Caenorhabditis elegans: one gene and its partner. The protein of the gene in region 1 purifies or fractionates together with the protein of each later gene. This does not show direct contact. Each region holds a gene or a part of one and is shown on either strand. Other genes may lie near its edges.

Evidence for each region. Proteins that work in one complex are often made in the same cells at the same time.
Region 2: the proteins of cor-1 (region 1) and gmap-2 fractionate together in Caenorhabditis elegans (co-fractionation; one large-scale study listed by BioGRID). This does not show direct contact.

Annotation. Positions count from the first base shown.
Region 1 is NC_003281.10:10,246,129-10,255,665, forward strand, and holds cor-1 (Coronin-like protein cor-1), read left to right. Parts: upstream 1-2,982; 5' UTR 2,983-3,008; coding exon 3,009-3,092; intron 3,093-3,323; exon of another isoform or gene 3,324-3,344; intron 3,345-3,735; coding exon 3,736-3,843; intron 3,844-4,217; coding exon 4,218-4,470; intron 4,471-4,817; coding exon 4,818-5,440; intron 5,441-5,555; coding exon 5,556-5,619; intron 5,620-5,667; coding exon 5,668-5,785; intron 5,786-6,357; coding exon 6,358-6,586; intron 6,587-7,335; coding exon 7,336-7,542; intron 7,543-8,308; coding exon 8,309-8,446; 3' UTR 8,447-8,581; downstream 8,582-9,537. Other genes in the region: div-1 (DNA polymerase alpha subunit B), read right to left, coding at 140-319, 894-1,073, 1,253-1,581, 2,091-2,271, 2,328-2,418; R01H10.4 (uncharacterized protein), read left to right, coding at 8,795-8,949, 9,532-9,537. UniProt on the Caenorhabditis elegans protein: Required to direct the migration of Q neuroblasts along the anterior axis of the body during larval development. This is dependent on its asymmetric expression in Q neuroblasts.
Region 2 is NC_003284.9:12,940,373-12,946,454, reverse strand, and holds gmap-2 (GM2 Activator Protein family member), read left to right. Parts: upstream 1-3,188; 5' UTR 3,189-3,195; coding exon 3,196-3,301; intron 3,302-3,351; coding exon 3,352-3,449; intron 3,450-3,552; coding exon 3,553-3,692; intron 3,693-3,915; exon of another isoform or gene 3,916-3,997; intron 3,998-4,147; coding exon 4,148-4,247; intron 4,248-4,301; coding exon 4,302-4,418; intron 4,419-4,464; coding exon 4,465-4,541; intron 4,542-4,716; coding exon 4,717-4,903; 3' UTR 4,904-5,013; downstream 5,014-6,082. Other genes in the region: nssp-88 (Neuropeptide-Like Protein), read left to right, coding at 7-66, 115-216, 514-603, 684-839; gmap-3 (GM2 Activator Protein family member), read left to right, coding at 5,744-5,903, 5,947-6,068.

The DNA.
Region 1 (9,537 bases):
AAAAGTTCGAGATTTTCAGGAAAATCGAAAAAATCTTAAAATTTTCGGTTTTCCGATATGTCGGAAAAATTGATTTTTTAGTAATTGCTTGAAAGTTCGGCCATAAAAAACTTTTGTTAACATTGTGCTAAAACCTTACTCGTAGTGTCAGTTTCAACGGGATTCACTGGAAGTGCCGCTGGCTGGAAGATCTTGTCAACTTGAAGCTCCTCGCCAGTCTCATTGGTCCCACGAACAGCGATAATTTGTCCGGGGAAGAGAGTTATATCTTCTGTCATTTTACTAAAATCCATTCGGATCATTGTGCCGTCTTCGTCGTCTGGAATTTTTTAGATTATAATCATTTTTTATTTTCCAAAAAAAATATTCAATTTTTTTTTGAAATCGATTCCAAAAACACTTTTTTTTCGGAAACTTTTCAATTTTTCATAAGTTCCGGGGTTTCTCTATTTTTTGAATACACATTTTTTTGACATATTTTACAGTTTTCTCGCTTTTTTCGTAAATTTTTTTCAAGTTTTTGAATTTCGATTTTTTTAAAAAGATTTTCAAAAAACTTAAAAATTTTCATTAGTTGATTTTGCCTTTTTCATTGAAATTTCGAAAATTTTAAATTTCAGCTTATAAAAATTATTTTAAAAAATTGATAAAAACAAAATTTGTGAAACTTTCGTTTTTTTTTTGTAAAAAAAATTATTTTAAAAAACTCGATATATGTTTTTTCAATTAAAAATTTCCAATTTTTGAGATTTCATAGATTTTTTTCTAACAGAAATCCTAATTAGTTTGAAGTTTAAAATCAAGAAATTCTTTTGGAAATTGAAATTTTTAACAATTTTTCATGGCTAAAATTCAATTTTTAACTAAAAAATCCCATAAAAACGAATTCTCACTAATCATAAGAGCAACAGAATGCTCTCCAAATTTCTCATTATCCTTTGTCTCATCATGAATCACTTGTCCATATGTATATACAACATCAACTGACGGTATCGATGGATTTCCCCAATCGACAATTTCTTCGAATGATTTTTGGATACGGTGAGCGATATCTGCCATTCGTTGTGCTTTTGCTGAAAATTTGTTTTTTTTGTGAAAACTTGAATATTACTCATAAGCGAAATTTGGTGCCAAAAATACGGTAACGAGTCTCGACACGAAAATTTTCGTTAAATGCAAAAAGATGTGCACTTTTAAAGAGTACTGTAATTAGAATTTTTGAGAAAAACATTTTCTAAATAAAAAATTCTACCTTCAATAACCATAGAAGATTTATCTCCACCATACAATGTACTCGGCGTTTTCGAGATAATTCTTATAGTATCATCGCTTTTTGTCGATCCTTTCAATCCTTTATCCTGATACTTCTTCCCTCGAATAGTTGTGACAACATGTGATGGATCGGCTCTTTTCAGGAATTTCTCATTAGCCGGGGAACCGGGAAATGGTGAAAAGTCGAGAAAATGTCCTTCAAGCTTTGCAATCGCTGAATTTGTGAGGTGATGTGACGGTTTTTCAATGTCATCGGGGTCGCCACTTAGGATGAATCCACTTTTTTCTGCGAGCGGAACACGGCCGCGTCTGAAATTTAATGCGGTTTTTTTCGAGACTTTACTTGAAAATTGATATATTATTAGGGCGCAGAAAAATTAAATTTTTATCAAAATGCAAGTGCGCTCTACGGCAAAATGTTGGGTCTCGTTAGGTTTTTTGAATTTACAGTTTTGCCGCCAATACCTAGCGAGACCCAACCGTTGAGGGCGGAGCGTTCTCACTGGGCCGTGAAGCGCGTTTGCGAAAAACTTTTTGAAAAAAAAAACTGAAAAAATTAATTTAAACATTTTTAGATTTCGAATTTTTTAATAACAAAACGAAAATGTCTTCAAAAATCAACAGAAAAAACACTAAATAAATTTTATTTTTACTGTTTTTTTTTTTGAGAATTTTCGTGAAAAAAATTTAAAAAAAAAACATTTAACTGTCGATTTTTCTCATTTTAAATAGATTTTTGCTATAAATTTGAGTTCCAATGCAAAATTCGATGATAAATGTAATTTTTCACTCAAAAATCTGCGATTTCCTTTACTTACGCCGGTTTTTTCACAGATCTCGGCGTGTGCACAGTTTTCTGGGCCTGAGCCTCCAGATTCTCCTCTAATTTCGCCAAAATTCCAGAGTCAACGGACTTTTGCCCAAGATTGCTCATCACCGAAACGACATCATCGACAATATCCTCACCGCTCTTCCGGAACGTTTTGCATAGTCCTTCTACTGCAAAAATTCAATATTTTGATGTTTTTTCCGATAATTATTGAATAAAAACTTACATTTTTCAATAAAATGATCTTTTGCGGGACAATTAAAGCCAAATGGCTCAAGATTATCGTTAAAATCTTCCAAATCGAACTCGTATGCCATTTTATGACGGGAAAAAGGAAGGAAATTGATGAGAAAATGGGTGAGTCGAGTTGAATCTCGCGCGCTCTCCTGTTTTGCGGTAGAGCGCGCTTGCACTGTGAAAATTCGAGCTCCGAGGCACGGAGCCCCCGCAGAAAACAAAGAGTTACTTGGGAAATAGAAAATAGGAGATAGAAAAATAAATAATTTGAACTTTGTTTAGTAAAGTTTTTAAAGTTTTATTATATTACTTCGCGCATTTCGTCACACATTTTTTGTGCACACTTGTCAAGGGTGTTCCGATTCCCTCCCCCGACGTTATCAATTGTGGATTTGCCATAGCCACCGAGACACATAGGATTTTAGCTAAACAAGAGTACGCAGGCATCTCAACGAAAGACGGGGCGATGGCGGGAGCCAACAAAGTGTAACATGGGAGAGAGCACGGGAGCCGACGAGTTGCAGGGGCTCCGGGCTGCCTGCGGGAGAGCAACAGGAGCAGCAGGAGGCACCCGCAAATCCTTGCATATTTACTCCGCTCTCACACACTCTCGCCGTTTTTCGCTTTTGACTAGAAAAGTTGCAATTCTTCAGCCTTTTTCAGATCGAAAATGGCGCAAATCGTCCGGCAGAGTAAATTCCGGCACGTGTTCTGTAAGCCCGTCAAGCATGAGAGCTGCATGTCTGACATTAGGGTAAATCACTAGTTTCATGAAACTCCTATATTATAGAGAAAAACCTCCTAGAAAACTGTGAAAAGCGGATTTTACTACGTAGCCGCAAAAAAATCGGTGGCCGAGTTTTTTCTTCTTCCATCCTTTAAATTTATCTGAAAAAAATTTTTTACAATCCCCTGGATTCGATTTTTGTGGAAATGCACATTTAAGAACGCAGAAAAATAAGAAATTTAAATGTTTTAATTTTTTTCAAAATTTCATAGAACTCCAACACTAAATCAAATACCTTTTTCAACAAAAAAAATTCTGCGAAACATATTTTTTTATTTAACTTTAAATATATGCGCAGTTAATTCAGTTATTTTCTAAACTTAGAGAGTTATTTAATGCCAAAAATTGAATTTGTCACGTGGCCGTGAAAGAGAAAACTCGGCCACCGATATTTTCTTTTGCGTTAAAAATTATTCTGAAATACCAATTCATATTCTTAGAAAAGTTTAAAAAAAGAAAACACCTTTTTTTTTCCAAAAATTTGAATAGATTTTTAAAAGTATAGAAAACTAATTAATAAATAGTTTTTTATTGTTTAAAAAATTTATATATGAAAATACAGTACCCGCTATTTAAAGGCGCCTTAAAAACTTGAATTCAACCTTTTCAGGTCACAGAAATCACTTGGGATTCATTATTCTGCGATGTCAATCCGAAATTCATCGCCTTCATCAACAGAGGGGCTGGTGGACCATTTATGGTCATTCCAGTGAATAAGGTAAGTTTTTTATACAAATAAAACACAAAAACCCCACCTGACAAGTGTTTTCAAATGTTATTTCCGGATTTTTAATTTTTTAATTATTTTTTTCCGAGCATGATGATCAGCAACTCAACAACACCTGTTACCTAAGGGGTCGGAAAACAAAAACTTTTAAAAAATTATTGAATAAACCTTTAGAAGATCAATAATTTTTAAAAAAAAAGTTAACTGAAATTTTGTGAAAAACCTACACCTATAGCTGTGTATCTGCAAAAACACCATTTTGAAATCTTCCTTGGTTACTAAAGTTTTCAATTTCTCTGGAAACTTAAATTGAAGCAGCCGACATTTCACGTTCCTGCTATCCAAAAAATGCCAAATATTTCCAGATCGGTCGCGTCGACAAGGACTATCCATTCGTGGATGCTCACAAGGCTCCGTGCCTCGAAGTCGCATGGAGCCCGTTCAACGACAATGTTATTGCATCGTGCTCCGAAGACACCACATGTAAAGTGTGGGTGATTCCGGATCGTGGGCTCAACAGAAATCTCTCAGAACCAGCTGTCGAGTTGACTGGTCATCAGAAGAGAGTTAACACCATTGCGTGGCATCCGGTCGCTAATAATGTTCTTCTTACTGCTGGTTAGTGAAAATTAAAATTATGGATACTGTAAGATTACTGATGATGTTTTGGGATTTCTTTGGGTTACTGTCGATAAGTTAGGCTATCTAGGGTTACTGTAATATTGGTGTAGACGTACTTCTCGGCAATTTTGCCGCAACTTCTCACCCAATTATAGGTACATTGTTATCAAGTTTAGCCAACTTCAGGTAGTTTTTCAGTGGAAATTTTTGAGGCTTATTAGAGACCAGCCGATCTATGTTTGGACATTTTGTTAGAGTACTATATGATTACTGTACTACCAGAATCTAGAATATCCCTACAGTAACCCAAGTAAAAATGAATTTACTGTAATTTTACTTTCCAGGCGGAGAAAACGTAATGTTTATGTGGAACGTTGGAACCGGAGAGGCACTCCTCGAAATCTCCGGGCACCCCGATCAAATCTGGAGCATCAACTTCAACTTTGACGGTAGTCAATTTGTGACTACCTGCAAGGACAAGAAGATCCGTATTCTTGACTCACACACCGGAGAGGTTGTTCACGAGGGAATGGGTCATGAGGGTGTCAAGCCGCAGCGAGCCATTTTTGTGAAAGATGGGCTCATTTTGAGCACGGGCTTCACCAAAAGATCCGAAAGATTGTATGCTCTCCGAGCCCCGGAAGATCTGTCAACCCCAATTGTCGAAGAGGAGCTGGATACCTCGAATGGAGTCGTCTTCCCGTTTTACGATGAAGATTCCGGTTTGGTGTACCTTGTTGGAAAGGGAGATTGTGCTATTCGGTACTATGAGGTTAACAACGATGCTCCGTACGTACATTATATTAATACTTACACTACAAATGAGCCGCAAAGAGCTGTTGGATTCCAGTCGAAGAGAGGAATGTCGTCGGAGGAGAATGAAATTAATCGGATTTATAAGTTGACTACGAAGGGAGTTGTGGATATTTTGCAGTTCTTTGTACCGCGCAAATCGGATCTTTTCCAGGTATGCGGAGTTTTGAAATAAGGTTTTGTTCTGAAAAGTTGTAGGTTAACAATTTTGGCTCGAAAAATTATTTTGAAAAATTTCCTACAATTTTTTAACTGAACCCATATTCCAGCACGATCTCTATCCGGATACCAGATCCACCATCCCAGCCCTTACCGCAGAAGAGTTCATGGAAGGTTGGCTGGAAATTTCTTTATTTTTTAATTGTCCAGTGTATTTTTCAGGTAAAAATGCTGCACCAAACCGTCAGCCAGTAAATGCAGCCGCTGCTGCAGCTGCCGCCAAACCAAAGGTCCAGGTAGCCAAGAAAGCCAATATTTTGAGCACTTTGGCTCCGACTGCGTGAGTTTTTGAAAAAGTGAAAACGCTTTAAATTTTTAGAGAAAATTAGGTTCGATTAAATTTGTTTTGGAAATTGTAAAGCGAATAAATTTTACTTTTAAGAATATTGAAAACAAACTCGTTTTGAAAATTAAACCAACATATTTTTTCTAAAATGTTTCTTTTTAAAAAAATTCAAGAATGTTTAATAATTCCTACTCGAACACCAAACCACCAAAAAAAAGTCTTCTATTGTGTTTTACAGTATTTAAATAAATAAAAAACTTATTTCCTGCCAAACTTGAAACTATATGGCTTAGAATCTCCAACAAAAAACTGAAATGGTGGCAAAAATCTGAAATAAATATCACATAAAAAACCTTTCAGAAAACATTTTAAAAAATATGAAAATGCCAACAAAAAACAATGCCATTAATCTAAATTTTCGGTTTTCTAAAGAATTTTGTTTTCAGAAATTAAAAATGCTGGAGAGTTGAAAATAAAAATTAATTTTTATTATAATTTCTAATTTTTTGACATAACTTTTTATTGAAAATTCTTTTTCTTTAATATCAAATTTTTTAAAATTCCAGCGCCGAATCAGTACCCACCCAATCCTACTCTGAACGTCCACCGTCATCTCAACAACCATCACCACGTCCATCTGCATCCCCGAGACCTCGTCCAGTTGTTGACGATGATATGGGAATTGTTACAATGAGAGAAGCACCGCCAAGTCGTCCAGCTTCATCAAGAGCTTCTCGAACTGAAATTCCCCCAAAGGAGGAGAGCAAGGTTGATCCAATGAAGCCGAAACAGGCGGTGAGCTTTTTTTTTTGTAAAATTTAGAACTTGAATTAATTTAAAATTTGGTTTTAAAAATTTGCTGTTCTAGCCTTGGAATTGAATCATGGCCTAAAAATTTAATTCTAGTCCACTGACGAGGAAAACTTCTTTCATGACTTTTTTAAGACGGTCAAGAATTTTTATCCCCCAATAATCCCTTTCTATCCCGCTGGAAATATTTTCAAATATGTTATCAAAAACGAGGTCGCCGGAAAATTCTATTCCACCATATTATCAAGCGTGGCTGAAAAAAACTTAGCCCGCCACTTGCAAGGGCGTGGCCTAATTTTCATTTAAAAAACCTTTGCCACGCCCGAGAATGTGGGGGCCTTTGATTTTCAGCTGATTATAACTGCTAAATCTAATAAACTTAAGTCACAAATTGTATTGAAATTCATTTTTGAAACTTCTAGGCCACCAAGTGCTCGCACGTGGCCTAGGAAATCCAAATTTCTCAATGTGAATTTTTCTAGCTCATGTGTATTCAATTTGCGGCCTAGGATTTTCAACTAACAAAAACTGCACATTCATTACTCAATTTTGATTGAAAACCTTGCCAAAATCAATTTTCAAAAGTTCTAGGCCACCAACTGGGCTCTCGTGGCCTAGGGATTTTGCCGATCGCTTCTTTTGAACTAAATTATTTAAAAAAAAACTAATGCTAATGATCCCCACTTCTCCAAAAAAGCACCATCCTATCACTTTCACCTTTTCCATTTTTCCAGGTTCAACTGAAATCCCGTGCCGCCCGTGATGAGCCCGGAGGCGGTGCTCAAACTGCCGGTCAGAGAAGAGCCGCCGCCGAGTTGGAAAGGATCAAGAGAGATCAGTCAAGAACCGCCGATGAGGACAACACTCTAGCTCCACCTCCATCTTCTTCCCGAGCTTCTGCATCGCCACGTGGCAGTGTATCAGCTGCGTCTGACGTAGGGGCACGTGTTTTTTACTGTGCTTACCAACTAAAATGTTGTTTTTCTAGAAAACAAAAACACGTTGACTTTTAACCAATTAGTAAGAAAATTAACAATTTTTGTGGGCCGTGGCCGAGTTTCCAGCAATAAGAATTGGGAACTTACAAATTAAATTTTAATTAAAACAAGCTTTGAAAAATTTCAGTTTAGTGTTTTACTTTAATTTTATTAAAAAAATGTCAAGCAACGTTTTTTTCTAATTTTCAAAAAATAACTATAAAATATGTTTTTCAAAAATAGAAATAAAATTCGAAAAACCAATTTTCCAAATTCATTAACATCAACTGAAATCTTTAAACGCCACGGCCTAGAAATCGAATTCTAGGCCATGAAAAGCCCCACCGTAGCCTAGGATTTTCCCACTACTAAAATGTACATTCTAATATGTTGTTATTGTTTTTGTGTTTTATAATAATATTCGTTTTTCTTCCAAAAATTGGACCGACATATTAAAAATTCAAATTTTTTATTTTCTAGGCCACCAGTAATACTATCGTGACCTAGATTTTGAGAATTTAATTTTTATCCAATTTTGCCCTTTTTATTTTCTAACGAAAAATTAATTATTCAAAAAGTTTTCTTATCCAAAAACGGGTGGCCTAACTTTTCTAAAGGCCCCAGAAAGCCAGGCAACTCCAAAATCCCTTTTTTGTTTCAAAATTTACAAAGGTGTTATAGTGAAAATTCTTGTATAATTTAAAAATTAATTTAAATAAAAAATTTCCAGCACGTGCCTCAGAACATGGATGAGCTTTTGGAAGATCTGATGAAAATGAAAGCTGTGCTTCGGCAACACGAACGTCGCATTCGGATGCTCGAAGAGGAGATTGCTGATCGTAATATGAGCAATGCTTATTCTTTTTGAACATGTTTAATTTTTTGAAAGAAAACTTTTTTTTCGAAAAAAAAAATTTCAAAAAAAATATCGATAATTTTTTATTTGTTTGTTTGTAAAAAGTGTGTTGTATTGTATTGCAACCTAATAAATGGTAACTTTTTCATTTCTCTTTTTTTTATTTTTCATCTATCACTTCCCGGGATTCCGGTTTCTCCCCCTCCCCACAGTGTCCCGAGGAGGCTACGCCGCCTCCACACTTTCGATTCCGACACCCGATTCAGGCGCGAATTTCCCTTATCTTTTCTTCTCGCTTATCAACTACACAAATCCACAATCATCTCAGTCTGATATAATCCTTATAAACTTTCCAAAAATATGGTCCCTCGTTTTCTAGTATTCTCAGTTTTGGCTTCACTTGCAACTGGACCACCGACTGCTGACGCTTTCTTGGCTTCGGCGTTCTCGTCGGTATCTCAGGCGGGAAAAACAGCAAATTGTCATGATTGGAGTGAATATGGACCTTGTTTCAGGTGATTTTTAGGAGAAAAACCAACATTTTTGGTGGGGAGGGTCGTGGGCTCCCATGCAGTTTTAAAAAATTCGCTTGTCCAAAGCTTTTTTTCCCGTATATTTAAGAAACTCTAAACTATCAACAAAATCTATTACATAAGGCGGCAATCATGACGTAACAGCTGAAAAATCGGTGGCCGAATTTTCTCTATGACGGTCCCGTTTTGTTTGTAAATTCCTATTTTTCAAAATTGCTACAAAATTTTTTTTTCAATTTCCAAAATCAATTTTTGAAAACTTTTCTTCTTTAAAGATATTGATATCACGTTTTTCTTATCATTTGACCTTATCATTAAAATATCACCTGAATCTTTAACATAGGTCGACGCTTACCACGGGGTCGCGGGCAGAGAAAACTCGGTCAAGCTCAAGAAATTTGAAAATCATAGCAATTAAACCGTCCATGTAAAAAATAATCAATGAAACCAAGATGTTGGAAATTGTTTTTTTTTCATTTAAAAATCTTCCCTCGTACATAAATCAACACCCACAATGTCAACACATTTTAATGGCCTAGTTTTCCACTGCTCTTCCATTTTCAGCACTGC
Region 2 (6,082 bases), on another chromosome or scaffold:
GTTTAGGATTGGAAAATGAGGAAGTTTGGAGGCATTGGGGGTGGTGACGACATGGCGCATTTTGATGTAAGCTTTCATGGATGTCAGATTTTTTATTTTAAAATCTAAATTCAGAGGTTCATCACGCACAAACGAGCTATAAACGGGGAGCTCCGCAGGTCCAGTATTCTTTGGGGCAAACGGGCACATGCTTCAGGGCTGAGGAATTTTGAAAGGGTGAGTCAAGGAAATTTTACTTCTTCACTTCTGTGTTTTTTTTGAATTTACATAAAGCGTTTTTTTTTTTGGAACAACACTATTCTATTGATACACTTGAGAAATCCTAATGTTTTGAAGTTTTGGCCACGAGTTTAATGCAGGTGGAATTGTTAATTTTTGGCAAAGATAGAATCACGAGGAAATTTGTCATCCCTAAATAATTTTAAAACTTATAGTTAGCAGGTGCAATCAAATGTAGTGTGTTTTCAATAAACCACTGACTCATTTCATTTATTTCAATTTAATTTAATTCAGGACATCCCTCTGATTCCTGAAGATTTCATGGTGATGTGGCCGGTGGAATCATCCGAGAAAACGATCAAAGATGAGAATAAATTCGAAACGGTAAACAAATTACTTGGAATCCACTCCTTCCTGTTCACTTATGATTCTTGTTTCCAAGATTTCATCGAATCAGATTGCAGACCACAATATTGGCCAAGACTTCAAGACAGTCGTTGAATCAACATGAGACTGAAAATGAGGAAGTGTTTTCTGATGACAATCTGAAAATGGAGCGGGTGGCGAAAGCAGGAATCCGGCCAAAACTTCAACTCAGCAGCCGGCTTTGGGGGCGTTGAAGGTGCAGAAATGAGATAGTTGATACAATTTTTCTTTCCTCCAGTCCTTGTACTTTTGGTGAAATAAAGCTGTTTTGTTAGAGCTGTGATACAAAGTTTCCATCATACAAACAGTCTATTTTCTGTCAACCGAGTATAGCTTAAAAAATTAAAGCGTTTCAACCACGTCCCGATTATTTAAATTTATAATCGAGCAGTTACTAATAAAGGAAATTCAAGTCTGGTTACACCTTTTTTTGTTAAATTTTTTTTTGAAATGTCAGAAGAGATGCTCAACAGTGGGATACTTTTTTATAATTGCAAGACGTGCCTAATCCTTTATATAAGGTTTTGCATTGGACTTCCTTAAACTTAACACTTGTTACATCTTGGAGTTTTCTAAAATATTGTCAAGGTTATTTTGTCATAAAACTATTTTAGTGCACAATTATTCCATTGATTAAAATGCATGTTCAGTAGGTTGATGTGTGCCCAAATTTATTTCTACGCCTTTAAATGAACCGTGAAATAAACCTTTTAATTTGTAATAAAATTTTGCTAATCAGTTTTGATCAAATAAAATTTAGTCCAGTTTTAAGCTCTAGTATGTATACCTGGCCATTCACAAATTCAGAATTTGGTACAACTATCACAAGCGCAGTATTAAAACTGGTTTTGTCTAAAACACTGTACATAAAGTGACATTCAGATGTGTATGTGCGTGATTTCCTGCAAAAATTGTATACCTGAATGTAACGCAAGCAGACCAGCTAACACTTTGCATAGCGCATCGTTTCCTGATCGAATAATAATGATTCACACCTATTATCTATTATCCGCGGTTAGTTGGTGAAAGGAGATGAGGGGATTCTTGGCAAATTCTCGTTTCCGACCAATTCGCAGTCTTTATCGTCTTCCACAATTTCTTAGTATTATTCGTTTTTTGCCCTGCGTGTCGGCCCACCATTCATTTGCCCTTCCACAATATCTTTCGTCACACTTTTCTGTCCAAGCGTGAACCTTTGCTATTCAAGTGCACTCAAGCGAATTGCCAGCATTACAGAAAGTGTATAAAATGATTATAAAGACGGGTGTGAAAACTGTGTATTCGCAAGATGAAAAAGTGTGGACTTTTGGTTAAAGCTAGTGGAAATTTTTATTTATGTTTTAATCGTTCAATGACTCATTTTTCTTATCAAGGGGTTTTTGCAAGATTATATAAGTTTATGATTTTTTTTCATTAAAGTTCATTTTTTAAATTGCGCAAACATGATTGATACGTGAAAAAATGAAAAGATATATTTTTTAATTTTGCTTTACAAAATTGTATTTCGGGGGGCGGATAGCTCAGTCGGTAGTGGTGACCGCTAGAAATCTGGAGGTCATAAGTTCAAGTCCGGCCTCACCCCCTAGGTTCACCCAGCCACTATTGGGCTTAATGGTATTATGCCTATCATAATTTGTAGTCCACAAAAAAATCTTTGTTTGCCAAACTTCATTAGCTCGAATGCTCTTGCGACCACTGTTAAAACATTAATTCGTCCAAAGTAGTTTAAGAGTTATTCTATATGCCGGCGGTATTATTTTTCCACTAAGTTTCCCAAATATTCTATAGTTGAGAACCGAAGTATTATAAAATTACAAATAACTGTTGCGTTATTTCTGACATTGTTTCTGTAGTTTTTGAGATTTTTTGCCCACAAACTCCATCATTCATTTAGGTCTCCATTCTTACAAACAACATTTTGAAGTCGATTTGAAAAGATAGTCACATGAACACTGATTTTGTAAAGCGTCACAAATATTTCCCTTCTCAAACACACCTAGTACACACCATTAAAAGTTCCACATTAGTTCTTGTTCTCGTAACTAGTTTTCTTTTGTGAAATTCCAGAGGAATCAAATTTTATGACAAGTTGAAAAATTAGGGCGGACGACGACGAGGTGAACACTAAATCAAAGACCATTGGAATCTTCAATGTTCTCCTGGTCAGTCATCGTAGAACATTTCGCTTCCTTATTTCAGTTTATTTTTCCTTGTGGTCTCTGCCATAGTCCCGTTTTGATTGAAAGTCTAGGTCCTTCAACAATGCATATCATACCCGATTCTCTTTTTTCATGCTTAGACAGATCTCTAAGCTTACGTAACAGGTTCCTTCCATTCGTATCGTTTTGCCCCATTTGACGATTTTTCTTTTTCACAGCTACTTTCTTGCCGCATTTGCATTAAATGCTAAACTAAGATTGATTCAAATATTAGATATGAAGATGTTTCGATGATGGAACTATTTGAATTCAGTGACTTCTGTGACTTTTTCTATACTGTTCTTGTAACTTTCTGTAAATTTTTACATAAACGGTATCTTACAGATTTGTCATGATTACAAACTGCCTGATATTACTGGCAATTTTGTTTGGATTTGCATCGACTCAGTATCTGAACTTAAACCTTCATAGACATCAAAGTTGTGCATGGAGAAAAAGTAATTATTAAACTATCGTTGTCACTTTTTTAATACTTTACGTGTTACAGGTTCTCACTGGAACCGCAAAATCGAGTTCCAGGGTGGCCACTCGGATAGTGGAGCGCTACTCAAGTCAACTGAACAGAAAGGGTGCTATGCAATTAGTGTGAGTTAGCCCCCAAGAGTGTTTTATTTTGATTTTTGAAAAACAATAACAATGCTTGATGATTGACGTTATTACAATAATAATAATAATTCATTTTCTTTAGGGAAAAGTGAAAATTCATGAGGATGTGAGCGACGAGTTGTTGATCTACTTGTCCGTGTCGACCACTGGTGACACTCAAAGACCACCGGAAGTGTGCAGGGATGCCAATCCGGACACTGGTTGTGGAGGTGTTGGATCATGGTAATGAGTTATTGACAGAAATATTAGGGAAATCATCAAGATTCTAGAGCTAGAAAAAACATTAGGAAATGAAAAAAAAGCCTTTTGAGCAGTTAATGATAGATGAACAGCTGTGAAGTACCTAAAAGTTTTAAGTTAGAGGTCACTCTTAAAACAAAAAGTATAACTATAACAATTTCATACATAAGTGTTTAACCTGCAAAATAAATTAAAAAAAAAGAACTGAAGAGAGTGGGATTCGAACCCACGCCCCCGAAGGGACTGGTGCCTTAAACCAGCGCCTTAGACCGCTCGGCCATCTCTCCACGTACTACGCTATCATAATTTGTCGTTATGTTATAACTTCAAACAACAAGATTTAGTTGTATTTCGATGATTACGAAATTTAAATTTTCGAACTTGAAAATTTGTTGTTTTGTTGTTTCCAAAAAATGACGTAAACACTGCTGTTTCAGTCTCTACTGCCGGCCATGTGATTCTTTGGACTCTCTCACGAAAATTCTCGGAGCTCAACTTGTTGTGAACGGCAAACCAGCAGGATGTGAGCCATTAAAAGTGAGCAACATCGTTAAAAAAAATTTACGATGCAGTCAATAACACTATTTTTAGAAAGGAGAATATGATAATGTTGAACTCCGTTTCTGCCTTCCGAAATTAGCTGCATTGTTGGAATGGCAGGGAATTTCAGAAGACGCGTTAGATCACATTTTAGCTGCTACTACTCAGGTTTGACAAAATGAAAATAATTATTGAAAGAAAAAGTGTGTTTCAGGAAGGAAATGGTCCACCAAAGCTTAGTCTATTTGTGACCGTTTATTTGTTCGACAAGGATATTAAACCTCTTCTAGTGTAAGTTCTGAAAATTAAATAGGTTTTAGCCAGATTTACAGTTTCATATACCATCTAACAACCATTCACTATATTCGAGACATATATGTCACATACATTACAGCTATATGAAAAATAACACTATTTTTCACGAGTAGAAAATTTTTAAACAAATAGAAAAATGAAATAATTTCAGCTCTCAACGAAAACTAGAATCTCGCATCCGTGAACTTCGCAAACTTGGCGCTGATGAGCCAGTTGACTCTCAAACTTATTGGAATCTGCCATTCAATCAAATTATCAAAAAGCAGTCAGTTTTCGTTGGATGTCACAAACTTTACGGAACCATTAGCTTGAGCGACATTCAAGCCAAGAAGAAATAAGAAAATATATTTGGATGAACAACGATGATAACTTCATGTTTATTCATTTCGTTTATGCGGGTTCATTTTTTGTGAATTATGAAATAAACACAATAAAAATTATGAATTAGATAAGCAAATTGATCTTGACATTTAATAAATAACAGTCAATCTTTATGGTGATACTGTGCTCAAAGACTCGTTGTGTAAAAAACAACAGTTTTGTCTGGTATCCTTTTGAGTATGTTTTTTTACATTTCTTCAATATGCATTTTATTCAATACAACCTCAATATTTTGCTAGCCTCAAAATGTTTCTGGGATTTTGTTCAAAGTATTCTGTATACCCTTTACTTCTAGAATTTTTATTCTTGTGTATACAACAGTACACGAATTCTACAGAAAAATCTTGCAAAGTTACTAATAGTAAGGAAAACTGGAACTATATATGTTGTTGGTTAGAGATCATAAAGTGATATTTATGTAACACATCTGTAAAACTTTATTGCATTTGTTCTCACTACTAGTTGAAGGACATAAGGCTTTTGATTCATTATTTTCCTTTTTTTTTACTTTTTTCCCCTTTCCTTTTCTTTTAATCTCTTCATCTTTTCAGAATCTCATAACCTTCATGACCTCGAAACGCCATCCGACAATCATTTCACATTGAGGTAAAAGTAACACGAAAAAGAAAGAAAAAACGAGAAAAGTGGTTTTGATGGCTGTCAGACTTTTATTACACATTTGTACAATTCATATCTATATTCCCCTTTCACCCCCACCGTCACTGTAAACTATTCTAAAATCCAGCTGAAAAGGGGTGTGAAAGAAGGGCACGTCCTCGTCGCTTACTTCATAAGCCATGACACCTTCATTTGCGCATCGGTTTCAGTCGCAGATGTTGGTCGTTTTCTTAGCTTCATCGTGTCTTTTCGTTTCCATTTCCAACGCGTTGGAAAACGTTGAGTTGGGAAAAGATCTGAGTGTAACTCTTGAACTCATCAAACATCAACCATGCAAAAGTAGGTTTACGAGATTTTAAACCAAAGCTTATTTGGTTTTCAGGTGGTAAATGGACAAAGAAGTTAGAATTCGAGTCTGGAAATGATAGGAGAGGCCCGAAACTTGAACCACAAGCCGATAAGCCAAACTGTTTTACTATCGGAGGCCAAGTAGAAGTTCTAGAGGTAAAATATTGTGC